Linked DNA regions of Danio rerio. The protein of the gene in region 1 purifies or fractionates together with the protein of each later gene. This does not show direct contact. Links are inferred from orthologs where the notes say so. Each region holds a gene or a part of one and is shown in the gene's direction. Other genes may lie near its edges.

Evidence for each region.
Region 2: the proteins of ddx20 (region 1) and ago2 purify together in Homo sapiens (affinity purification with western blotting; 3 studies listed by BioGRID). This does not show direct contact. The link is inferred for Danio rerio from reciprocal best matches to the Homo sapiens genes DDX20 and AGO2.
Region 3: the proteins of ddx20 (region 1) and snrnp70 purify together in Homo sapiens (affinity purification with mass spectrometry; 4 studies listed by BioGRID and IntAct, counting the BioPlex papers as one, with this or other methods). This does not show direct contact. The link is inferred for Danio rerio from reciprocal best matches to the Homo sapiens genes DDX20 and SNRNP70.
Region 4: the proteins of ddx20 (region 1) and strap purify together in Homo sapiens (affinity purification with mass spectrometry; 3 studies listed by BioGRID and IntAct, counting the BioPlex papers as one, with this or other methods). This does not show direct contact. The link is inferred for Danio rerio from reciprocal best matches to the Homo sapiens genes DDX20 and STRAP.
Region 5: the proteins of ddx20 (region 1) and gemin2 purify together in Homo sapiens (affinity purification with mass spectrometry; 6 studies listed by BioGRID and IntAct, counting the BioPlex papers as one, with this or other methods). This does not show direct contact. The link is inferred for Danio rerio from reciprocal best matches to the Homo sapiens genes DDX20 and GEMIN2.
Region 6: the proteins of ddx20 (region 1) and snrpf purify together in Homo sapiens (affinity purification with mass spectrometry; 5 studies listed by BioGRID and IntAct, counting the BioPlex papers as one, with this or other methods). This does not show direct contact. The link is inferred for Danio rerio from reciprocal best matches to the Homo sapiens genes DDX20 and SNRPF.
Region 7: the proteins of ddx20 (region 1) and snrpd2 purify together in Homo sapiens (affinity purification with mass spectrometry; 3 studies listed by BioGRID and IntAct, with this or other methods). This does not show direct contact. The link is inferred for Danio rerio from reciprocal best matches to the Homo sapiens genes DDX20 and SNRPD2.

The regions. Positions count from the first base shown.
Region 1 is NC_133183.1:30,195,673-30,199,950, reverse strand, and holds the start of ddx20 (probable ATP-dependent RNA helicase DDX20), read left to right. Parts: upstream 1-1,478; 5' UTR 1,479-1,650; coding exon of another isoform or gene 1,651-1,728; 5' UTR 1,729-1,796; coding exon of another isoform or gene 1,797-1,842; exon of another isoform or gene 1,843-2,003; intron 2,004-4,278. Other genes in the region: PAK4-inhibitor INKA2, read right to left, coding at 1,651-1,728.
Region 2 is NC_133194.1:44,214,482-44,217,981, forward strand, and holds part of ago2 (protein argonaute-2), read left to right. Parts: coding exon 1-157; intron 158-246; coding exon 247-406; intron 407-980; coding exon 981-1,071; intron 1,072-1,243; coding exon 1,244-1,438; intron 1,439-2,036; coding exon 2,037-2,171; intron 2,172-3,500.
Region 3 is NC_133178.1:30,722,021-30,725,131, forward strand, and holds the end of snrnp70 (U1 small nuclear ribonucleoprotein 70 kDa), read left to right. Parts: exon of another isoform or gene 1-191; coding exon 192-293; intron 294-805; coding exon 806-905; intron 906-993; coding exon 994-1,804; 3' UTR 1,805-2,611; downstream 2,612-3,111. Other genes in the region: lin7b (protein lin-7 homolog B), read left to right, coding at 2,930-2,966. UniProt on the Homo sapiens protein: Component of the spliceosomal U1 snRNP, which is essential for recognition of the pre-mRNA 5' splice-site and the subsequent assembly of the spliceosome. SNRNP70 binds to the loop I region of U1-snRNA.
Region 4 is NC_133179.1:17,468,584-17,472,731, reverse strand, and holds the start of strap (serine-threonine kinase receptor-associated protein), read left to right. Parts: upstream 1-1,348; 5' UTR 1,349-1,538; intron 1,539-1,692; 5' UTR 1,693-1,705; coding exon 1,706-1,817; intron 1,818-2,249; coding exon 2,250-2,385; intron 2,386-2,465; coding exon 2,466-2,547; intron 2,548-3,918; coding exon 3,919-3,991; intron 3,992-4,087; coding exon 4,088-4,148. UniProt on the Homo sapiens protein: The SMN complex catalyzes the assembly of small nuclear ribonucleoproteins (snRNPs), the building blocks of the spliceosome, and thereby plays an important role in the splicing of cellular pre-mRNAs.
Region 5 is NC_133192.1:14,292,407-14,296,645, forward strand, and holds the start of gemin2 (gem-associated protein 2), read left to right. Parts: upstream 1-1,439; 5' UTR 1,440-1,549; coding exon 1,550-1,668; exon of another isoform or gene 1,669-1,689; intron 1,690-2,714; coding exon 2,715-2,796; intron 2,797-2,876; coding exon 2,877-2,966; intron 2,967-4,142; coding exon 4,143-4,202; intron 4,203-4,239. UniProt on the Homo sapiens protein: The SMN complex catalyzes the assembly of small nuclear ribonucleoproteins (snRNPs), the building blocks of the spliceosome, and thereby plays an important role in the splicing of cellular pre-mRNAs.
Region 6 is NC_133182.1:19,364,171-19,368,129, forward strand, and holds the start of snrpf (small nuclear ribonucleoprotein F), read left to right. Parts: upstream 1-1,159; 5' UTR 1,160-1,346; coding exon 1,347-1,349; intron 1,350-2,210; coding exon 2,211-2,336; intron 2,337-3,959. UniProt on the Homo sapiens protein: Plays a role in pre-mRNA splicing as a core component of the spliceosomal U1, U2, U4 and U5 small nuclear ribonucleoproteins (snRNPs), the building blocks of the spliceosome.
Region 7 is NC_133193.1:43,804,206-43,807,054, reverse strand, and holds part of snrpd2 (small nuclear ribonucleoprotein Sm D2), read left to right. Parts: intron 1-533; exon of another isoform or gene 534-603; intron 604-1,314; coding exon 1,315-1,494; intron 1,495-2,849. UniProt on the Homo sapiens protein: Plays a role in pre-mRNA splicing as a core component of the spliceosomal U1, U2, U4 and U5 small nuclear ribonucleoproteins (snRNPs), the building blocks of the spliceosome.

The DNA.
Region 1 (4,278 bases):
GTTTTTACTACTTACTTTGTTATTACTTACATTATGGTTATTACTATTGTTATTATTTGTCTTTTTTGGCTTTTCACTGTAGGGCTAGGTGATTAATCGTAAAATAATCGGAATCGATGTCCAGAGCCTATAACGATCTAATTTTTCCAGGTAATTTTTTTCAATTACTTTCCCTACCATGTGTGGAGTCATGTGACCCCACTCTGTTATGGCTGATTTATACTTCTGCATTGAATGCACAGGTATGGTGTAGGCTGGCGCAGCCTTCACTTGGTCACATACCCGCACATCTCTCAAAAATTTAACTACATGCTACATCTTTGCATTCCATTGATGATGATTGGAAGCTGTGCCAGACATGCCTTGAGACGGCATATTTTTATTACAATAAAATGACCATTTACATTAAAATATTTGTTTACAGAAGGTTCAAGAAATGCACTGTTTACAATATTATTTACAGGATATAAAATTAGATTTTATTTAAAAGTAAAACTGCTTACTCTCAACTTTTTTTTAGCCATTGTGTGATTTAATTTCTTTTGTTCAACGTTGATGTTCAATAAATTATCATATATAGTCAGTAATGTGTGTTTTCCTTCAATTATTTTAAAATCAAGTAATGCAGCCTTCATTCAGAAATCTCTTGTAATATGTGAGCATATTTACTGTACAAAACTTGTCAGTGAATTATGAAGGCAAAAAATAAAGTGAACAAATAAAACAATCTTTTAGTAATTGTAATTGAGTTAAATGTTCAATTGGGCCAAATCGCCCAGCCCTAATTCACAGTATTGTCTGGATTATGGAGTGTTAAAAAGGAAACCCAAATTTTACTCAGTGAAAGCCTTTTATTCAAAAAATGTAAGAAAGAATTGTGAGGCTTTATTTACCATTCAAATTATTGTGCTGCAAAAGTATGCTAATAAGCACATATTTGATCAAACTGAACAATTTAGAAAATTTGCAATACAAAAATAATACAATTCATTATGTAATTACGTTAACCAGCGGGGCAGAGTGTGGTGATAATGAAGTGTTTTTACCCTATAACGTTAAAAAATACCCCTAAAGCATTTATTAATCCTAGTTAACATTAAAATATCTAAATATTATTAAATAAAAGTAAATATACAAACAGACATCAACGCAGATTAATAAATACCTTTTGTATAAGTTAGCTTACTTAATACTACCTACCATGTGTTCCCAAAATAAATCAACATTACATTAAAATGATCGGTTGTTGTGAAATATTAGTCAAGCACGTTTTTCTGGTGGTTTTTATCTCATATAGTTTTTGCTGTGTGATGGTCGCACGCAGACACTCAGAACTCAAATTTTAAAACATTACAGAAGACATAGTGCCAGCCAATCAGCGGCTTCCTTTCAAACAGCCGCTTCCAATCAGGTTGCACCTTTCTCACGCTGCACGCACCGGCACGCAGCCAACAGCTGGATGAACGTCAACAACTCACCGCAAACAAAACAGATAAGTGAAGAAGAACCGAGCCGGTGAAACGCGCACTAATTTGTTCATAACGCGAAGATACAATAATTACATACACGTACATATCAAAGAATACTGTTAACACAGAACCACACCTGTGCTGTGAAAGTAAGTGCCGATTAAGATCAAGAAAATCTCACCAGTTCATTTCTTAGACGATGAAGGTTGCTCTTCATGTCATCGATATCCGTTTTCCCTTCCTCCATGTTTGCCGACATAACGTTACAGAATGAAATTATTTTAATGCTACAAGCAGGTTGATTGATTTAAATCTCCATCCAATTTGATGTCGCTGCCGCTAAGATCTTTGGTTTCCTTCGCTTTAGTTTCAGGTCAGTGATGAAGTATAACCAGCGTTATGTTAATATAATATTCCTTCTCTAGCCTCTGACACTCTTCACATTACATATTCAGGAGACATCCGTGCCCCCGAGCAGAAGGAGGCACTGATGTGGTGTAAAAGAGCTGATGATTTGAGGGAAAGTCCCTGAATGGGATTAACTAACGGTTGTCCGTCAACAAAACAACTCTTGCTTTCGCTCCAGTGGTCAGTTCAGGAAGAATAGAGGGTTCGTGCATAACAATAGAGGGACAATCGTACAACTTTAACTGTGCTTTGATTGGATTTTAGACGGGGGGAAGAGCCTTAGTCCGTGTTAGGAAACTGTGATTTTGTTAAATATACATGTATATATATATATATATATATATATATATATATATATATATATATATATATATATATATATATATATATATATACCATACATTTACATATGTTTAAGATTAATTCATTAATTAATTATTTTAGAGATGGATTCTTTTTATAAAATGTGTATTATTGACAAAAGATCCTATAGACAATTTCAATGAGGTCATGTTATTGGCCCTGTGGATCATGAGCATTTCCTGCTTGTTATCGAACTAATTCAGAACTGTAACAAGAAGCAATTCAATCATAGCTTAATGTTAAAACAGCTATCATAACTTTATCAATATGTAACTTGTTTAGAATTCTTGGAAGCTGCATAAATAAAAAATGGTTGGACCATTGGACCAAATAAAAATGGTTGGGACCATTGTTTTTGATTACATCCCTTAATATGGTATTGAAACAGCTTATTCAAGGAATTACTCAGTTTAAATGAATTTTTTTTGGTATTCTGTTACAACATTGTTATTGCCATATGCATTCTTTACAAAAGATAGCCTTTGTAAACCTATTAGGTTTCCTGTATATAGGTTTCCTGTTAAGTTGTTTTCATATTTTTCAATATTATAATGTATTAATTTAGAAGAAGACACCCACTAAAATGTGTTATTTACCAAAAAAATGTTTGTCAGGTCAATTTAAAACAAAAATCATGTTGCATGAAACATATTAAAAGACTATTTCAGAATCACACAGTGCAGCCCCAAATAGTTTTGTTAGATGTCATATTAAATCTTTGTTTCAGTTACATCTGTGTTTTACCAATTCAGTAATTAATAAAGTAATTATATTACAATTTAGCACGGTCGCTTATTCATTTATATATTTAATTAAGAATACTACAGGTCACAATAATTACCGTTTTACAAATTCTATAAAGTTTTACAGTGCCCAGCATAATTGATTATTCCCCATCTTGAAACTGAATATTTTTCTCCATTTCTCAGTGAATATAAGTAATATATTTTGGTGCATTTGAACAAAACAGGTGTATTAAACAGAAATATTTAATAAAACTGTATTTTAGTCACCAAACATCTTTTGATATAGAAAGATAATACAATTACAGTTTTTCTCAGTGGCTTTGGCGCATTTCTCAAAACACTTTTTACATTTGCACAACAGTTAATGCGTTTCTCAAAACAATTAGTACAAACTGAAAAACCTGGTTGATAACCTGCAAAAGCGCGTCACATGCTCAAATAGATGTGTTTCAAATCATCAAATGGATAGCTCATTCCTCAAAAGCAAGTATTGATGTCAATGAAAGTGTCAGTGTCATCAAGATGAAGTCCTGACACCATTGTTTATGAACAAGATAGTCAAATGGCTTTGTCATGATTTCATTATGACAGTTTACTCTGTAACTGTTTTCCAAAGTCAGATTTTGGTGACACTGAAAATCCTCAAGAAAGCACTGCATTTGCACAGCCATTTGAAGACTACAGTAATCCATGCATTTAGTGAGGTATCTGAGTACAACACACTGAATATGCATGATTCACTTTTTTACTGCATGTGCTAATATCTAATTCTAACTCTATTTATTCAACGCATTGTGCAAAAGAATAAATACACTCTTATTCACAACAAACAAACTTTCTTTGGGTAGAGCTCTGAGCCTCTGCAAAACTGTAAACAATATTGCAGTACATATTGGTACTGAAGCTACAACATACATACTGTAAGTCTGTAAATCATTATTGAAATTGATCAATTTAGAAGACATTTTCAGGAAAAAAAAAAAGATTTAAAGATTTGAATAAAGTTTGCTTGACAGATTTTGACTAGTTCAATGTTCTTGTATGTAATGACACAAGTAATGAAATGAGTCTGTTATGGAATGACTATTCAGCATTCACAAGTTCAGTTTATTTTGACTGACATGACATAAGCAAATGATAATGATATAAACAGCAGAGAGTTGTATGAAAGCAATTGTAGCATGTCCAAAAGCTCTTGCAATTTGTTGGAAGGAATTAGAAACTGCTAATATCATGTGCACAAATCTCTAATTGTTTTTGAGAAACTCATTAACTGTTGTTCAATAGTGTAA
Region 2 (3,500 bases), on another chromosome or scaffold:
TCACGTGATGCTGGGATGCCCATTCAGGGCCAGCCGTGCTTTTGCAAATATGCCCAGGGAGCAGACAGTGTGGAGCCCATGTTCAAACACCTCAAGTACACTTATCAAGGGTTACAGTTGGTGGTGGTCATCTTACCCGGCAAGACTCCTGTTTATGGTAATTTAATTATTATTATTATTATTTTTTTTTTCATCTCATATCTTTAGTGTATTTTTTACACACTCTAAATGCTAAAATTCTTACAGCTGAGGTGAAGCGTGTTGGAGACACTGTTCTCGGCATGGCCACGCAGTGTGTCCAGGTGAAGAATGTGCAGAAGACCACACCTCAAACCCTTTCTAACCTCTGCCTCAAGATTAACGTCAAACTGGGTGGAGTCAACAACATTCTTCTTCCACAGGGCAGGTGAGGGCAGCTGTTACAAATGCCTTTGACATGCAGAAAGCTTGAGGCAATTTCTTGTTGTCCTTTACGTCCTTTGATGCTTTCCCATGAAACTCAAAGGGTTAGTTCACTCGAAAATATGTAGTCTGTCACCCATTGATCATTCCAAACCTGTAAGACTTGGGTTATTCTTGGGAACAAAATTATCTCACTTTATTTTGTTAAGCAATTATATTCATTTATAGCAGCTCAGTCAATATGAATTGAGTTCACTACACCATATTGACCTTTTTCGGTCTAAGTTACTTTGACTTGCAATGGAAGGACAGAGATCTCAACAGATTTCATTACGTCTTAATTTGTGTTTCAAAGTTTAACCAAAAGTCGAATAGTTTGGGAACGATTTAAGGATGAGTTAATGATAAGAGAATTAAGATTTTTGTTTGAACCATCCTTTCAAAATGACAGAATAATACAGCTATTTTCTTTTTATTTACTTTTTATTTTATTTTTTTTTTACTTTAATTTTTTTGCACTCGTTATTATATATATTTTTTTAATTATTTATTTATTTATTTATTTATTTTTGTCTTAGGCCCTTGGTGTTCCAGCAACCAGTTATCTTTTTGGGTGCAGATGTGACTCATCCACCAGCTGGAGATGGCAAGAAACCCTCAATTGCTGCTGTAAGCCTGGCAAACCTCTGATATTTTAAGGCTGATAATGCTCATTGCACAATGCCAAGCAGTGCTAATACCACAAATGTGACCAATTTCTACTTGAAGTACACGATTTAAGGCTTTTAATGGGTTTCAGAAATGTTTTTAAGTATAATAATTTTACACGTACGGCATTTAGGTCGTTGGCAGTATGGATGCCCACCCAAGCAGATACTGTGCCACAGTGCGGGTGCAGCAGCACCGGCAGGACATCATTCAGGATCTGGCAACCATGGTCAGAGAGTTACTCATCCAGTTCTACAAATCCACACGCTTCAAACCAACACGCATCATCTACTACAGAGACGGCATCTCTGAAGGCCAGTTTAACCAGGTAAGCTGCAGGACAAGATCTCTTGTTAATACATGCTAAGTAGTACTGCAATGTATTATTTGAAGGCGACCTATTATGCAAAAATTTATTTTGTAAGGGGTTTGTGTGGTAACAGTCTGTGAATAAAACCAGCTTCTAATGATAAAAATTTATTAATTCTATTTTTTTTTAATAATCACACCTAAGAAAACTGCAGAAACACTTTGACTGACAGTCTCCCTTTGTATGTAACACTTTAGTTGACAGTCTCCCTTTATATGTGCCATCAGAGGGGAAAGCCCCGCCCACTAGTAAGATCTTACCCTCATTAGCATAGGACTTTAGTCTTTTTTTTTATCTGCTACTATGCTGATACATTTGTAGCTCCGCCCTCTTTTGAAAACAACACAATCTAATTTGAATTTAAAGCGACAGCCACATAATCAGCACAATTATGACCAAAGCTTAAAAGGGGCAGTTTCAAACATTATTTGTGTGGTATTTTAATCTGAAAACTTTGCACACATTCTCCAAAGACATCAGAGACTTATTTTACTTCTTGTAAAAAGGGGCACAATGCCTCCCCTTTTATTGTTGTCATCTTGTTTCGTCCTTGCAGGTTCTACAGCATGAGCTGCTGGCTATTCGTGAGGCCTGCATCAAGCTGGAGAAAGATTATCAGCCGGGTATCACCTTCGTTGTAGTACAGAAGAGACACCACACCAGACTCTTCTGCATGGACAGGAACGAACGGGTTTGTTATTATGCATCTAATCTCCATACAGGTGTCACTGGAGGGAATCACACATTTACACACAGATGATAACTTTCTGCATTCAAAGTGTAACAGTGGGAAAATAATATAGACCGTTTAGAGGGATGTAAACAAAAACAGTGGTCCCAACGTATTTCCTGTTTTACATTTTTCTATCGCTTTCGAGAATCTAAAAAGAGCCACATATTGATAAATAATGTCATGATAGCTGTTTTAGCATGACGTTATGATTGAATCGTCTCTTGTTACAGTTATGAAATAGTTTTATAACAAGCAGGAAATGTTCATGGGCCAATGAACCAAGTACCAAGTAAAGCTCTAGTTTTTTTTTAAATGTGTGCATTAGGTTTGTCATCCACATGCAGAACACTTTATGTGCAGCTTGCATGCGTTTTGAATATTTTGTTGCACTACTAAATTGTTCCACAAGGTGTCAACACTAAATCAGGCTGTTTCACAGTCAAAAATATGGAGGCAAAACTAATGAAGACATTTTTTTATCCCTCATGAATTTTTGTTGTGACAAAGCACATGCATTGGACATTAGCAAATCTTTCAAGTGCCTATGTGTTTAGCATGTGTTTTTCCAATCTACTAAATGGAGTAGACTACTAATATACTACTACTTTAAAAAAAATCTGTTTTAAAAACAGTAAAATAAATACTTTTTAAGGAAACATGGAAACCAAAGAGACATACAATACAAATGTCAAAGTCCACCGATTACAATCTTACTTTCGTATTTATTGTTGATAAAATGTTGCTATATATTTGTTAAGGGTTACATATCAAAGATCAACAGGCTCCAGATATATATAAAATAAAGTACCACAATAAAATTAAAACAGTAGATTTCTTCTCAACCATTTACCCCTGTATGCAGAAATTTAGTAGGCTTGTTGTCTCAATGAAAATGTCAGTACTTCCATGTCATACACCTCTTTTACAATATCATGCCATTCACCTACAGATGGAGGATCTTCCTTGAGCCATTTCTTTGTAATTACCTTTGTAATTACCTTTTTTCTAGTTATTAGAAGTATGTTAAGAAGGTGTGCATCATTTTTGGTATTACTGAAGAGTAAATTCCCAGGTACATAGTTTTAAAATTACATTCCAGATTCAGCCCCATTATTGCATTTATCTCTTTGTTCAAATCTTGCCAATAGGTGTGTATCACAATCCCAAAATATGTGGAAATGATCTGCCATTACATTTCCACATTTTCTCCAGCATTCAAAAGTTTTTTTATCTTTAGTTTGAAAGTATTTTATTTAAGCAAGTAGAATATACTTTGAAAGGCTACAA
Region 3 (3,111 bases), on another chromosome or scaffold:
GGTAAGCGTGTGACTTCTGATAGATTAATGTTTTGAATGGAGTTCATCCCAAATTCAAGGTATGTAGTAGCAAATACTGTTCTGTGTCTTCATGGTTCTCATTGTCTGTGTCTTTTTTTCCCTCTGTGCTCCCCTTTATTCCCTTCCTCTCAATCTCCACTTTTCTATTGCTCATCTATCAACTCTTCTAGCTGCTTATAAGCATGCGGATGGCAAAAAGATCGATGGTCGTAGAGTGCTTGTTGATGTTGAAAGAGGACGAACGGTAAAAGGATGGCGCCCCCGGCGACTTGGTAAGCATTTCTATTTTCCCCCCACTCTTGTCACATGTTTGTTTCTAGGCCTGGAGGTCCAGTTTGAAGTATTGAAAACATTTGATTCAGTTTTTCTAAAATGTCCCAAGACAAGAATGGATGTTGTTCAATAGTTTAGGACGACTTTGGTCCTAAACTATTGAAAAATGGGTTTTTAACGCCTTTAAATGTTGGCTTCTGTAGTTTGGTTAGGAATGGCTTTAGTATGCCTCAAAGAGCTTTCTTTGAGGTTTTTAGTTTCAAGTGAATCATTCTCTACCAAAAGCAAGAATGACCGCTAATCTTGTAGCAAATAGGTTTGATAAATCAAGGCAGGCAAAATCTGGCTCAAGGTCTACTGTCCTGCAGAGTTCAGCTCCATCTTTGATCTTTTGAACAATATTATTGCATGGGTATTATCAGTGGGCTTCGAGGACCTTGCCTATCCCAAGCATGGCCTTTGGGTCCCAAAACTTTCTACTTGAACCAAATTTCTTTTCTTCACTCTCCAGGTGGGGGTCTTGGTGGCACAAGGCGAGGAGGCGCAGATGTCAACATCAAGCACTCTGGCAGAGACGACACATCTCGTTATGATGACCGACCAATTGGAAGGTACGCTGTGTGAGAGGCGGTTAGAATTTTAGTTGGTGCTTTTTCATCTTCTGAACTTACGCGGCCTTACCTCTGTCTTATTTTGCAGTGATCGCGATCGGGATCGTGGTGAACGCCGTGAACGCAGTCGGGAACGTGATCGAGACAAGGAACGTGGAGAACGCAGACGTTCTCGGTCCAGAGAGAGACGCAGGCACACTAGGTCTCATGAGCGTGAGAGGGCCGCTGCAGGGGATGAGGCTGGGGGCAGCAGCCGACGACGAGAGAGGGAAAGAGAACGAGGTGGTGCTGGAGCTGGAGAAAGCAGAGAGAGGAGTAGAGACCGGGATCGAGATAGAGACCGCAAGAGAAGGAGCAGGAGCAGGGATAGGAAGAGAGACAGGGAAAGAGGAAAAGGTGCAGAAGGAGGGGAGGAAGGCATGGGCGGGCTAGTTGATGGCATGATGCCTGAAGGGGGAGATAGGGGCATAGAGGACCCCTTGGGTGGTGAACCAGGGCGAGGTGAGGAGGGAGGACCTGAAGGAGAGGAAAGGGGGAGGGATCGAGACAAAGACAGGGAAAGAGATCGTGATAGGAAGCGCAGCCATCGAGATAAAGATAGAGAAAGGGATCGGGACAGAAGGCGGGACAGGGATAGAGATCGTGACCATAAGCGAGACCGTGGAGATCGGGACCGTGGGGAGCGAAGGGAAGATCGACACATTACCTCCTCCGGAGATCATGAGGGTTTGGGTAATGGAGGTGAAGAAGGTGAAGAGCCAGTGCCACCGCAATCAGAAGAAGGTTCACAGGATGGGATGAGGATGATGATGATGGATCAGGATTCCATGCAGTCGGGAGAGGGCTATGCCTCCAATGAAAATGGGTACAGGATGGAGGCCCAGGGTGATGAGTACTAAAAGTGCCATCGTTGTGTGAATGATTGTAGGTTATCTAGATGTAATGTTGATTTGATCCACAAATATCTTCAACCATTATTTAATGCCTCCACCCTTTGCTTGCACTGTCCACAGCGTGTGAGTATTATACTGTACTAATAACAGCTGTCACTGAGAGAGCTTAGTGTCTCCCTGGTAAGAAGCGTCCTATTGTTAAAATAAACATTATGTAGCTAAACTGTGAGCTTTTTTATGTTTTTAGCTCTGGTAAACCTATTTCTGGGGCTTGGACTACAGTAAATAATTAGCTTAATGATGCATTTGAATTCCCTGTCTAACATTATTTTGATATCAAATGACCATAACTGGGAGGGGATTTCTTGACTGAAGCACTGTATTATAATACAGTGTAGTTTCAGTCAAAGATAAGTATTTGTTTGTTGGAGTTATTGGGGTTGTTTTAGTACTGTTATGTCCATTTTCATAGATGTTTGCGGAGTACAATAGTAACGTTTCATGGGTTAGTACATTTATCTGTAACATTCTTTTTGTATTGGTCTTCCCTTTAATTTCTCTGCTACTTTATTTTCATCATGTACATTTTGTTTCATATTTGGTCCTGTACATGGATCGTTTACAAATCGTACAGTTGCCCCTTATTTTACAGCAGGAACAAAGGCAGAAAATATGACACCTGCTTTTAAATGGGAATGTCTGCCATGGTCTCACAGAAATTGCTCTTAATTTTATGTATAGGTTTTTTCAGTTTGTATCTGGTCGTATTTGTTCTGCTTTAAATTCTTGAATAAATACTTTTTTATTGCCGAAGTAGTGTTTTGGTTATTTATTTAAATCTTACGGTGTTAAACGAGCTTGTGGGTTGCAAAACGACTTGAACTCGCGCCTGTGACGTGTGGTCTTGCGTCATCCAGTAAGCTGCCGCTCTGTACGAGCGCTCAGACCCGCGCATCTCGCCATCAGAGCTGGATCGTCTGCGCCTTCAATATTGTTTTTACATACTTAAAGCTCATCTCAAATTTTGTTTTGAAATATTAATTTGGTATAACGTCGCTGAAAGCGGTTCAGTCCTCCACTGCAGCAGTCTTCATGATGTCATCGTATTATCATACGGGGAAAGAGGTGGACATGGCGGCGATGACAGAACCGCTGTGCTTGGAAAGAGGTAATTTACTCCGTTCTCATTGTTGTGTGCAAGCCACGGAGAGTGGCGTTGTGCAAATATTAAAGCTGATAGCGTTGCTAACGCACTCGCTGGTTCTTGTGTTTGTTAAACAAGCAGCAGCAGTGACCACTGAGAGGCGCACAGT
Region 4 (4,148 bases), on another chromosome or scaffold:
GTGCTTACAGTAGATCTTCATCTCTAATGGCCTTTAGCAAGATTTTCAGAGATGCAATTATGTAAGATTTGCAAAAAGCTGTGATTAATGAGTCATAAGCACTGCCTTTAATTTGGATGACGTTTAAATAGACATTGCAATGAGAACATAAAACATCTATCTATCTGTCTGTCTATCTATCTATCTATCTATCTGTCTGTCTGTCTGTCCGTCCGTCCGTCCGTCCATCCATCCATCCATCTATCATCTATCTGTCTGTCTATCTATCTATCTATCTATCTATCTATCTATCTATCTATCTATCTATCTATCTATCTGTCTGTCTGTCTGTCTGTCTGTCTGTCTCTCTGTCTATCTATCTATCTATCTATCTATCTATCTATCTATCTATCTATCTATATCTGTCTGTCTGTCTGTCTATCTATCTATCTATCTATCTATCTATCTATCTATCTATCTATCTATCTATCTATCTATCTATCTATCTATCTATCTATATCTGTCTGTCTGTCTGTCTGTCTGTCTGTCTGTCTGTCTGTCTGTCTGTCTATCTATCTATCTATCTATCTATCTATCTATCTATCTATCTATCTATCTACGTGCCTGCCTGCCTGCACATCCCTTCAGAATATTCAAAGAACTCCGTGAGTTTTTCCAGAAATTGCTCTAAGTCATTTAAAACAGGTGTGTCCCATGACAGTGAGGTTATCATGACATCAGAGCACACGTAGACATACCAGTGAGGCTTGCACGCAAAATTATCATTGAGATGTCTGAATGTAAAGCATTTTTACCGCAACCAGCCCATGTGTAATATTTATCCTGACCGCTCTATTCAAATAGTAATTATATCCTGTGCAGATGTTACTTACCTACAGGGGGCGCTTCGTGGCTCAGAAAGTTTACCTTATATATATTTTAAATAGCGTAAAGCTTATTGATTTATGGCACTGATTATTATTATTATTGTTATTATTATTAGTATTATTATTATTATTAACATGTTATTTCCTCACATTTGCCATAACGTTAGTTATATAACCATCCGTTAACAACACTGATAAACGAAGTGTGTCAAAGTAGTAACTTTCCTCGTTTGTAGTTCGTACTGAGAAAGCGTCTTCATATTAACGCTAGAATCTTTCCTATCCCAGATATTACATATTAGATAATGGAATTTAAACATAATACAGCACATGTTAGCACTTTATTTGTACATACACGTCCATTGGTAGAAAAACGGGATGTACGCTTTCTCAACCGACGCTACGACAGGTCACGTGATCCAGTTCTGTCCAATCCCCGTGGCGTCGCGGGCCGGAAATGATGGCCGGGCTTTCACACTAGTGCTTCCATTATGTTCCTGTAGCGTTAGCGAGGGCTCGAGTTTAGCTTACACACACACACACTCACACACACACACCTCGTGTAGCTGGTGGCACAGCACTGTAGCTGGGAGTGCAGCTCCGCAATCATCCCCGATACGCAATCTGGCCGCAAAGTACTAGTGTGTGACGTTGATTTGCTAGCTTTGCAAGGTAATGATTGTTTTTCTTTGACTAGCCAAGCTTGTGTTAGCCAGCACACCTGTTCTGATTTTTCATATGTACATCTCTTATTTGATACTTGAATTTTAAGAAATACGTAGCTATGTTTCAGTACAATTGCTTATGTGTCCTGTCATCTTTTTAGGTCCTCAGTAAGTATGGCCATGAGACAGACCCCTCTCACCTGCTCTGGTCACACCAGACCTGTTGTGGATCTGGCGTTCAGTGGAATAACTCCTTATGGATATTTCCTCATTAGTGCTTGTAAAGGTTTGTATGTACTTGGACTTAAAACCAACTCTTCACAGTAAACACAACCTCATTGCAGGGCATTGTTGGTTTTATAGTTGCACATTCATGCAGTGACCACTTGTGACATGCTCCCTATATTGTTCACCATGGTACTTTGAATATTCGGCTTGAAATCACATTTAATTATGACTTCAAAACAACATTATCACGTTACTTGATTGTGAACAATGTTGTGCTTTGATAGTCATTGGCTGACAATATGATTTTGCTATTTATAACTTGCTAATAATGTTTTTCTGAAATAAAATTAAGGAGAAAGTTTAAATATAAAACCATTTTTACCTACATTTGCAGGGCAGTGTGCTTAAAAAGTAAGCATTTCTTAAAATAAGTGTGTGCATATGTCATGTATCTGTCAAATAAGTTTGTTTTTGTGTTCAAATTTTGCAGATGGCAAACCTATGTTGCGCCAGGGTGACACAGGGGACTGGATTGGGACGTTCTTGGGTCACAAGGGTGCTGTCTGGGGTGCCACCTTGAATACAGAAGCTACAAAAGCAGCAACGGCCGCAGCAGATTTTACAGCGTAAGTGTTAAAGGAATAAAAGATGAACTGTTATTGTTGAAACATGAGTTTACTTTCTATATTTCTTATGAATCTGACAGGAAGGTATGGGATGCTGTCACTGGAGACGAGGTCCTCACCCTGGCGCACAAGCACATTGTGAAGTCTGTAAACTTTACACAGGTATTCCATGCTGATGTATAGAACGAGTTCTGCAAAATTGTGTAAGCCAAGAGTTATGGCAGATGAAATCTTGACTTTGTAATCTTGGAATATGATATACATTTCAAATTATATTTATGCACAACGTGGGTTTTTTAAATTATTATAATTTTATATTAGTTTTACTGTATTTTTGAATAAGTAAATGCAACTTTGGCATAACAGGCTAAATGTATTTATTTTAAACTACTTGTATGAACAAATGAATAAGTCATTAATTTATTCTAGTATCTAATTAAAACATTTTGCAACAATTTTAGTAAGATATAATACTGATCTATATTGAGATATTCAGACTATTTATGCAACACTTGGTTTATGAAATGATCTTACTTAAAATAGTTAACCTGTGGTCATTCAAAACCACGGGTTAACAGAATGCTGGCTCAATTTGCTTCATGATTCTCATAATTTACTTCGGCAATCAGTAAAGTTTCATAACTAAATGTTTCAGTTAGCTTCATTTTCAAATGTGAACCCTGACAGGAGAAACAGCATGTCACTGGGACTTTCCTTATTAAATTTAAACCACAATAGATAAAGTAATAAATAAAATGAAATAAAGTTTGGAACAATAGTAACCCATGTGTTCAATCACTCAGTACATTTACAAGGATACCAATGCAATTTTAATACGATTAAGACAATACTCTGATTAAGACTCTACCATATAAACAGAAATTTTTCATTAATTTAATCAGATTAAGGTCATAATCAAACTCTACAGAAATGTAATTAAGACGTGGCATATGCCGGTTTTAGTCACATCATTGACACTGTAAAGACATGTAAACGCAATCAAACTATTACCGTTGTGTAGGGTTTTTGCCACATTTTGCAATGGGACAGTCTATATACACACGGCTGTTTGACACTATTCTCTGCACTATCAAGTCAGTAGGACCACAGACATCTACAGTGTACATTGCGAAATGCTGAGTTTTTTTTTTAAAAAACCAATATCCAAAATCCAAAATCTCGTTTGTCATGGGGGCATGCATGAATTATTCCTGAATGAAAGTGCCAAACTGCAGTTAAAGTCAACAAAATAAAAATAAAACTCCCGAAATTACATGAAACTCCAGAGCAAATGTGGATAGCACGATGACGCAACAACGTTAATCAAACTATGTGCTATAGCATGTAAAAAGGGATCATGAAAGCAATATTCAAAAAGTAACTCATGTAAACACCTTAAACATTTTATTGTCTTATTCAGATCAAGGCAAATCATTTGATCACCGATTACTACATGTAAATGAAGTCACTTTCTGTAAACTTGCCAGAGTAATTTCATTTAGGAGTTTTTACCAGCATGTGTTGAACCAACAGGACAGTAACTATCTCCTGACTGGAGGAAATGATAAAGTACTGCGCATCTATGACCTCAGCAAACCTGAAGCAGGTATTGAAAGTTAAATAATAGTTTATTTGCTTTGATGATAGCCGCTTCCTTTCATAAATGCAAACCTGGTTTTAAAAAGTAACTTTTGTAATGCAGAACCCCAGGAGATTGCAGGCCACACTTCTGCCATAAAGAAAGCACTGTGGTGTAACAATGA
Region 5 (4,239 bases), on another chromosome or scaffold:
AAACCCACGCGAACGCAGGGAGAACATGCAAACTCCACACAGAAACGGCAACTGATCCAGCTGAGGCTCGAACCAGCGACCTTCTTGCTGTGAGGCGACAGCACTACCTACTGCTCCACTGCGTTGCCTGTTTCAAACTTATAAGAAAAATAAATTAATTGAAGGAGAGGGTTATAGACTTTAATTTTGCCTTGTGTATGTGAAACGTCCCAAGAAAAATAATCAACTTCAAAGCATTACCGAGTGTATCATGGCCAGTTTTCAGTTTAAAAAAGAATCATGCATTCATCCAAGTTAATTATATATAATTTTATTATAAACTGAGTAAAAAATTAACCCTGAAACCAGTTTCCAAAAGTCGTCAATAAATGTACAAGCACAAAATAGATGTAGGAGACTTTCAGGTTTAAAACATTCTGATGAAATGTCTTTTTAAAATGTATTAATGAACAGATGGCAGGGATACCTGTGTAATATTTTCTTTATCTTTTTTAAATACATTTACTGTATTACAGAAAGATACATTTGGTGCACATCATTTACAATAATAATCATTAGATTATTTACAATGGTGCCAATAAAGAATGAAAAAGAAGAAAAAAGAAAGAGGAACAACCAACAGAAATCAAACAAAAAACAAAGAAATATCAATAGGCCATCTGATCTGAGGGTAGATATATAGATTTAAAAAAAATTGAAAGTGAAGAGGGCAAAATAAGAAGCAGCAATTTAGAGATTTAATTGATTATAAAGGTCGTGCAAATGGTATGCTTTGAGTACTTTCTTGTTAAGTGAATCTGGAACTGTAAGTAATTTTTAATCTCTTGTAAATGCTAGAAATGTTAGCTTGCAACTTGACATTGACAATATACATTTATGAACATAAAATCTGCATAAAGAAAAAGGTTTATTTTAAAGTAGACATTAAACTTTGTTATAAAAAACACCAAAAATGACTTTTGTAGTCACAGAAAAATGCTGTAAAGTAATATTTGGACAATTGCATGACCAAAATAAGCGAGGAGTTTCAGCGTTAATCTGACAAAAGGAGATATTTGTATCAAAGTATGATCCAAATCTTTTCTTTAAGACATTTTTGATAGGATAAATGTTATGTAATAATTTAAAAGATATTTCCTTTACCTTTTTAGTAAGGAAAAACTTGATGTATGGACCATATATTTCCCCAGTTTAAATAATCAAAAAGACCGTTTCAATGTGAGATAGCAGAAGGGGTAGAGTTTTCAAAAAACACAGCTCTTATTTGATAATTTTTCCTTTTTATTTAACCTTATTGGGGAGTAAATAAAAAATATTCTACTTGTACAATATTTCTCCACCATTTTATGTTGTTACCCTTCACATTTCTCCTAAACAACAGATGTCGCTACACATCTTTCCATCTGTAAGCGAGTGAATAAAAGAACCGTCGCGTCTATTGATCGTCATCCTCGTGTCCAATGTTTTCAAAATGGAGAGGTTGACATGCACGTAATAGTGAGCATGTTGATTTATTTTGATGGTCGTGCATAAAAAATAAGGCAAAGAGATGAAGTCAGACGCCGAGGAGTTGATGCCCAGACTCCTGCCAGTGGATTCCTGCGACACAGAGGAATATACTCTTACCGAGCCGCCTAGAAACCCTCAGGAATATCTCAGATTTGTCCAGTAAGTCTTTCGGCTATTGAGGTAAAGTTGGTTTAATATTCGCACATTCAGACATTCTCATCAATAATACAGTTTTAGAAAAGTATTATTTGCAAATTGTAAAGAAGGAGATCATATTAGCTGCCAATGACTACTAAAGTACAACATTATTCAGTCAATTAAACAGTACTTATGTTGTTAAACCCTACTGGAAAAAAAAAACAGCTTAAACCAGCCTAGGCTGGTTGGCTGGTTTTAGCTGGTTGACCAGGCTTGTTTGAGAGGGGTTATGGCCATTTGCAGGCTGGTTTCCAGTCATTTCCAGCCTGGTCTTAGCTGGGCAGGCTGGGAGATGACCAGCTAAAAACACACACACACACACACACACACACACACACACACACACACACACACACACACACACACACACTCACAGAGAGAGCGCTGTGGGGGAAATCAGAGCACCTAGAGGAAACCCACACCAACACGGGGAGAACATTAAAGCTCCACGCAGAAATGCCTTATGGCCCAGCCAGGACTCGAACCAGTGACCTTCTTGCTGTAAGGTGACAGTGGTTACCACTAAGCCACCGTGCCGCCCGTCAAGATTGTGGCTCTATGCTGGTTTCATACCTAGAACCTCATAGTTTGTTACCCAATGCTTAGCACGTTGAACTAATTGATCAAATTGGTAAAACTAGTGATCCGAAGGACAGTGGCACTAACAAAATATGATTTGGGGCTACACTTTAATGCTTTTGGCTAATAAATTACTATTACACAGAATAACTATTGTAAATATTGTTTGTAAAAAATGTTATTTTACACATTCTAATGCAACAGGAAAAACAAAACTACTTTAAAGCTGTATTAGCTTTTTCTTGTTGATGAAACTATGCTTGACTTTGACTCTTGTTCGATGAACATTATAGTAGTCAGCATTTTACAAGTGGATTGAAAACGCTTTTCGAAATTGTTCTAAGACAAGAGTGGGTGTTGTTCAATGGTTTTCGGGCAACTTTAATAAAAAGACCCTGTTTAAATATCGACTACTGTATATTTTACAGGAGGGAAGCATCTCTGTGTCCAGATGTTGTTGTGGCACAAATTGATCCAAAGAAGCTGAAGAAACAGTCAGTGAATGTGTCTGTAAGTGGGAAAAGTGAACTGAATAATCTGTTATAAATTCTGTAATGTGTAAAATAACTGTGCCATTATTTTTGCCTCAGATCACAGGTTGTCTTGCTGCACCTGAGGGTTTTTCACCCAGCTTTAAATGGCAGCAGCAACAAGTCAGCAGATTTTCAGAAGTCAGACAGGTGTTCAATATTAACCACATTAGTTTCTTTAAAGGGATAGTTCACACACAAAAAATGAATATTTACTCATTATTTATGAATGTTACTATTATTCAAGTGGTTCCAAATTTTTTCAAGTTTATTTTTTCTGTTGAGCAAATCCATTCATTCATTTTCTGCCGCTTTTCCGGGCCGGGTCGCTGGAGCAGCAGTCTTAGGAGACAACCCCAGATTTCCCTCTCCCGAGACAGTTCCTCCAGCTCCTCCGGGGGGGATCCCGAGGCGTTCCAAGGCCAGCCAAGAGACATAGTCCCTCTAGCGTGTCATGGGTCTTCCATGAGGCATCCTCCTGGTGGGACATGCCTGGAACACCTCCCTAGGTAGGCGTCCAGGAGTCATCCCAAACAGATGCCTGAACCACCTCAGCTGAGTTCTCTCGATGTGGAGGAGCAGCGGCTCTACTCAGAGCTCCTCCCGGGTGACAGAGCTCCTAACCCTATCCATAAGAGTGCGCCCTGCCACCCTTCGAAGGAAACTCATTTCGGCCACTTGTAACCGTGATCTTGTCCTTTCTGTCATGACCCAAAGCTCATGACCATAGGTGAGAGTAGGAACGTAGATTGACCGGTAAATCGAAAGCTTTGCCTTTCGGCTCAGCTCCTGTTGAGCACAAAAGAAGATATTATAAAGAATGTTAGAAACCTGACTTCCATAGTAAAAAAAAACAAATATTATGGAAGTCAATGGTTACTGCTTTCCAACATTTTTCAGAATAGATTCTTTTGTGTTTAGCAGATGAAAAAAAAAACAGGTTTTACAGGTTTTCAGCTTTGTTCAAAATAAAGGATGAGTAAATGATGACAACTTTCATTTAATATTTCATTCTGTCATCATTTACTCACCCTTTATTTTGAAGAAAGCTGAAAACCTGTAACTATTGACTTAGTAGTAGTATTTAGAATTTGTTGTTACTACAGTATTTCTTTTTCCTAATATGGAAGTCAGTGGTTACAGGTTTTCAACACTCTTCAAAATGCCTCTCAACAGAGGAAAGAAATTCATAAAGGTTGATAACCACTTGAGGGGGAGTAAATACAGAGTAAATGTTCTTTTTGGTTGAACTATCCCTTTAAGTACTTTTAGACTTTTTAGAATTTGTTTTTGTAATTTGTTTCATCCATATATTTCTTGTTTCAGAGTGTGAACAAGCATCGTCAGCATTGGAAAGCTCAGTTTTTGGATGATAATGTTGTCATGGTAGGACTTTATTTATTATTGGGCTTAAATTAAATCT
Region 6 (3,959 bases), on another chromosome or scaffold:
GTTGATGGCCAGTAGTCTAGATATTTATTTAGAGTAGGGGTACCATGTTTTTCATGATTTATTTATATAAATGGCAAATTTGAAATGTTAGTTGTCTCTGTGAGTGTATACTGCAAATGAAATTACCCTACAGGGACAAATAAATTAACCAACTAGCTAGCTAACTAACTAACCTAACTATATACACCCTCTCTGGGGAAGAAAATATTGTCCATCACTATCCACCACTGTACATGACATTTCAAACATGACCTCTTTTGAATAGATGGTAATGAAATGCAAAAACCTACTGGGCAAGTCTTCGGTTAAATGATTGATGTGGGATATTTGCATTTTTTTTTATTTATATAATTGAGGGTCAATAGTTTTGCAAAGCTAAATTACTGTACAAATCAAAGAGAAATTAGATGTGTTGTGCTTTCAAATACAAATCTAAAAGACTGTAAATGATTGCAAGTTTCCGTTCTCGTTGAATGAAATGATAAAATGATCCACTGCTGCTGTTTTGGGAGTTGTTAAAAATGGTACAAAATAAATATATAAAATAATTTATACATATTAATTTTTTTAAAGGGATAGTGATGAAATGAAATTATGTTCTCATTTACTTACCCTTCACTTGTTTATTTCTTCTGCTGAACACCAAAGAAGATGTTTGGAAACTGGTAACCATTTCTATAATATGATGAAAAACAAATACAATAGAAGCCAATAGTTACCGGTGTCCAACATTTTCGAAACAACAATACCAGTTTTAACATACTTCCAAATATCTTATTTTTGTTTTCAAATGAAAAAAAAGAATCTCATTAAGGTTAGAAACCCCTCAAGGGTGACTATATAGACAATTTTGAGGAATCTAAACAAAAGACAATGGTCCTTACGTATTTCCTGTTTTACATTTTAAATTTCTATAGCTTCCGAGAATCTAAAAAGAGCCACATATTGATAAATAATGTTATAAGAACTGTTTTAACATTAAGTTATGGTTGAATTGCCTCTTGATACAGCTGTGAAACAGTTTTATAACAAGCAGGAAATGTTTATGGGCCAACGACATCATCAAACGGAAATAGTTTATAGTAAGTACATTTTTATTTTTGGATAAACTATTTCTTTAATTTCAGACCTCCACTCCAGCTCAACTGAGGATTCACGGCTCTATTCCCCGCCTGTCCAGCGAGTGGCGCAGCGGGCAGATCCGCTCTTCTCTCCTGCCGTGCGGTCAAAGTGCGCTCGTAGTCCTTCCCTCTTTCGGCGGCAAGGCGTGCGAGTGTGCTGCATTAGCTTATACTATTCAAATAAACAATTTTTGTGTCTGAAAATACTACTTAAGTAATCCAGTCATGGTAAGTTCATCGTTATCTCTTTTATTTGTATCCAAACCTTCAGTTTGGCGAAAGAGCGTAGACGTTTTCATTCATAAATACGCTGATAATGCGGCTAGGTGTTAGCATCAGGAACGCAGACTGGACGTTGTTTTCAGTCATTTTCAGTGTTGTGTTAGAAATGTTGAGCTTTGCTGATAAATGTTCCTCCTTGTTCTCTTACAACCTAGTCGGTGACTCCCAAAATGCGATTAAATGATATATGTGTGGGAAAACTAAAGATAAAAACTAACGTTAAAGGAGTTTTTTCTGCTATTACTGATGCTTATTTGCAGCTAATTCTGGTGGAAACCAAAAACAATTAATGCTGTAAATTATTATATTGTTTTATTGAAGTTATACAATATATATATATATATATATATATATATATATATATTGTGTGTATGCATGCGTGTTTTGATTTTTTATACCACAAACTACAGTAATGAGAATTTGTCATTACAATTTAAAATGAAGTCATATCAATTGTATCTGTTTTTGTTTTGTTTTTATTATTTGTTTATTTTGCTTGTGTAAATTCATGCGGCTAGTGTCAAAACTTTTTACTAAAAGTTATAACAAGCTGATGAAGAAAAAAAACTAAAACCCAAAATGTAAATCTTTTTTTTTTTCTATTTGGTCAAATATGACTGAGCATCACCGGAGGCTATGCTAAAGTTTCTTCTAAGCTTTTCACTCACTTGAGAATAAAATCATCAACATTTGTAGTATTTTACTTCTTCAGGAACAATATTATGTTGACATGGAATTGTTTGAAAATGACACTTAGGGATTGATTTCGAATGATGTTAATTGTGTAACACTGATCTTTTCCCTCAGAGTTTGCCGCTGAACCCAAAGCCCTTTCTGAATGGTCTGACAGGAAAGCCTGTGATGGTGAAGCTGAAGTGGGGCATGGAGTACAAGGGCTACCTGGTGTCAGTGGATGGGTACATGAACATGCAGGTATGTTTAAAAGAGTTAACGATTCTATGAAAATCCAGCTCCTTAGTAGGAAGAAAATTTAAACTATTCTTTTTAACTCGAGACATACCGTTGTATATGCCATTATGGAGATGCTAGACACACACAGACATCTGCTTAAAGCAGAAGGTGGCCAAAAATGTAAATATTGTAATGGCAACCTAGCTGTCAAGCATATACACTTCATATGAAAACCTCAATATTTAGCAATTCTGAGTGTGCCTTACACAAGTGAGTGGGCTTTATAAACACTCCTTGACACACTTGCACTAGTTTTGTCTATTTGTACCAGACCCTCTCTTTCAACCACTTCATAGCTCTATAAAACATTGTGCATTTCTGAGATTGGTTCACACAGGTGAGTGGGCTTGACAAACCACCTGTAGAAATGCTAATCTCTCTAAATGCAAGTTTTTCTAGATCTCTTACAAGGACTTAATAAAAAAAAAAAAACAATGTTTACCTGTGACTGTACCACAAATTGTTTAACTGGTCATTTCCTTCAACCTTAAATGATCTCTTTTGCACAATATTGTTCTGTCTTATATAAAAGTACTTGTATAGTCTGTCTAAGGTTATGCGTAAAGTTTTTTTTTTTTTTTACTATTTATAGACCGTTTCAATGTGGTGATGCCATTGGCCCATGAATATTTCCTGCTTGTTGTCAATTCATATCTGTAACAAGAGGCGATTCATTCATAACTTATATAACAGCTATTATAACAGCTATTGTAACTATCAATATGTGGGACTTTTTGGACTCTCAGAAGCTACTGAAAATACAGTAGGACCATTGTTATTGTTTACATCCCTCAAAAAGGTCTTTAGTACATGTATAGTTAATTACTGCTCTGCTATGTAGTTATGTATAGGTTTAAAATCGCTCTTATGTCTATAAGGGTTGTTTATATTTATGATAGTTTATTTATGTTGCACTGTGGTCCTGCAAGACATTTCACTGTGTGTCCACAGATGTAGCGGAATGACAATAAAACTCAACTCGAGTTGATACTTTTGCAATGCCCTGTTTAAAATGTTTTAGATAACCATTTTTATCTGGAGAGTTCTTAAAGCAGGGATGTCAAACTTTGTTCCTGGAGGGCCGCAGTCTTGCATAGTTTAGTTGCAACCCTGCTTCCCCACACTACAGTTTGAGCATGTGAAATTCTGCCGTTTGGTGCTGCAAAAAGGGGCGGGATTAAACAAGCTGATTACGATTTGACCATATTTAAAATTTCTGTACAGAGAGGTCGTGTTTTGATCTTCTATTGGTCAGAGTTCACCAAGCTTTAAGTTTCCAACACATCGAACTGCGAAACTTGTGGCACGAGCTTGCGTTTCCTGTCTAAGGCATTTACTTGCTAATAAATGGAAGTCTATAGGGGTGCAGTGTGCCTGCCGCTTTACCTGTAGGTTTCAAACGACTGTAGGACTCAATTAGTTTGATCAGGTGTGGTTAATTAGGGTTGGAATTAAACTGTCCAGAGCTTTTGGTCCTCCAGGAATTGAGTTTGACACCTGTGCCTTAAAGCAACTATTTAAAAAAAAAAAAAAAAAAAGTGAATCTTTCGAAGATGGTAGAATTAAACTATTTTAAGTTTTTAT
Region 7 (2,849 bases), on another chromosome or scaffold:
CTTGTTTATCAGATGTCTCCTCGCTGCTCATCTTCACCGTGTTCACCGGGGATGATATTTACACACGCTGTGAAGTTTGTCATACCTCCGCGGATGCGCACTTCCGTTCATTTGCATGGAGCGACCTAACTGGCATCTGTTTAAAGATTTAAAGTTTACATGAATCTTTGACGCTGACATAAGAAAAATAGCATTTTAAAAATTACTTTAAATAATCCGGGAGCAGTTTCATTTAGTGAACCACCTTAGCGTCTAGTTCAGGTTCCTTTCCATGCTACTGTGAATATTCTGTCTAATACAGCATATATGACTTCAAAACAACATTAGCAGTATTTCATTGACTGTGTGTGAAAAAGTTGTACTTTGATAGTCATTGGCTGTCTGCTAATATGATTTCCCAATGTAGAATATAAAACCAACTTTACCTCAATGTAAATATTATAGGGACTGTGTCACATGTTGTCTCTGAATGAATGTGTCAATTTAAATTTTACTTCTCCTCAATTTAAATATGTTACTATTGCAGTGTGAATGGATGTAGCTCAGTGGTAGAGCGCATGCTTTGCATGTATGAGGTCCTGGGTTCAATCCCCAGTATCTCCAAGAGCCTTTCGAGGTTCTGTCCACAGACGATAAACAGGGTTAAGAAAGTGGTGTATGGTCATAGGTTTAGTTGCAGCGTCTTCAATTGTCTTATCACACTAACTGTACAAAAAAAAAAAAAAAAAAAAACTACTAACACTTCCCTTCTTAGACTTTACAGACCTGAAACTTGCCTTTAGTACTTATTCATTGTTGCTCTTAGTTGTGTAAATTGCTTCCTTGTCCTCATTTGTAAGTCGCTTTGGATAAAAGCGTCTGCTAAATGACTAAATGTAAATGTAAATGAAGAGATAAAATTGCTTTAAAAAAAAAAGTATGCAAAAGTAAGCCTATATTAACATGGCTATTTTTTTAAAGTACTCATGGCTAGGGTTTTATACTTGCATATTCATTCAGTGACAACTTGTGACATGGTTTTCTACATTAATTACCTTTCAACTTTGAATATTCGGTCTGAAATCGCATCCAAGTAGGACTTAACATCATTAGCACTATTTTATTGTCTGTAAACAATGTTGTACTTTGATATTCATTGACTGCTAATATAACTTCCCCATTTAGAATTAAGAAATAATGCTTTTCTTAAATTATTATTATTATTATTAAGAGGAAATCCAAATATGCAAATATAAAATCACCTCAATTGTAATTTGGCCGATGTAAATTTTAGCCCTTTATGCAGACATGCTAACTGTTGAAATGTCTCATCAGGAGTTTATTAAACAAGCCCAAATCTGAGATGACTCCAGAGGAGCTCCAGAAGCGAGAGGAGGAAGAGTTTAACACCGGTCCACTTTCAGTGCTCACCCAGTCTGTGAAAAACAACACACAGGTCCTCATCAACTGCCGCAACAACAAGAAGCTGCTGGGCAGAGTCAAAGCATTCGACAGGTAACTCGTGTCATTTTGAGTGATAAATAATGCAAGCAGGCTTTGTTTACATTAGTGCTGCACAATATTTCGTGTCAGCATCAATATCCCAATGTTCGCATCTGCAATAGTCACATTTCAAAATATGCAAGAATTTTGTTGACCAAGAGCGACAGAATTGTGTTTAATTACTGTATTTATACAGGATTTAGGCAAATAAAGCATTTCTTATCATTTTTGGCTTGTTTCTAGTCCAAATGTTTACATTTCAAAGCTAAAAAAATAACAAAGTAAAAGTGAAACAAAACTATATTTACTTGATTCAAAAATTTTAGATATTTCCACTAGTAATGAGACAAAGCAAAGCAAGAAAATTATTTTTTTTTACATTGTGATTAATTTCTGTGAATTTAATTTCTGTACCTGAATACTGTTAGACTCTATTGAAAACCATCAAACAGTGCTATTTAAATTCTCTTCTAAAACTGTATCCCATATTGCAACATTTATTGCAAATTAAAATCTCACACTATCAAATTTTTCTAAAATTGTGCAGCCCTAGTTTACATGCACAGGCTTGTGTTGATATGATTAAACTTTTGAATATCTGTGTTGCAATAGTTTTCTGAACAAAGTATCTGCAGAGTAATAGTTGCATTTTGTGTCAACATAACCTATGCTTGTGTCTCCTGTTTGCTATAGGATTTGCTAAGATGTGTATTTTATTTGCTACAAATAAATTATATTGAATTATTTAATGATTTTGCTGAATATTTTCCCAATACTACCATGTAATATATAAACATAATATAAATTATTACTATATAATATCTAAACTATTACTATATAATATATAAACTATTACAATATAATATATGAACTTTTAATATAAGATATTTAATATATAAACATATTATTAACTTTTCCTATATAATATATAAACCATGAATATATAAGATATATAATATATAAACTAGGCTTGGGCGGTATCCAACCGGCGGTATACCGTCAAATCTCCTCCCTATTTTAACCAGGTATCCGGTATTACCAAGCATAATAAACAAAATTACGACGTAAGGCTCAGACAGCGTCACCAAATTGTGCCTAAACCATTCAGAAACTGATACCGTATATGCGACCTTAGGTTTGCGGTCACCTGTTTGTCTTGTTTGTATTCTTCTGCGTAGGACGCTCTTTCTTCAAACACACACACACACACACACACAGAGATAGAGAGAAAAAGAAGAGAGAGAACCAAGCAACACCCAGCAACTCTCTTTCTCTCTCTCTCTCTCTCTCTCTCTCTCTCTCTCTCTCATTCACACACACACAAACACACACCGAGAGAGAGCACCAAGTGACACACGCAGATTGCA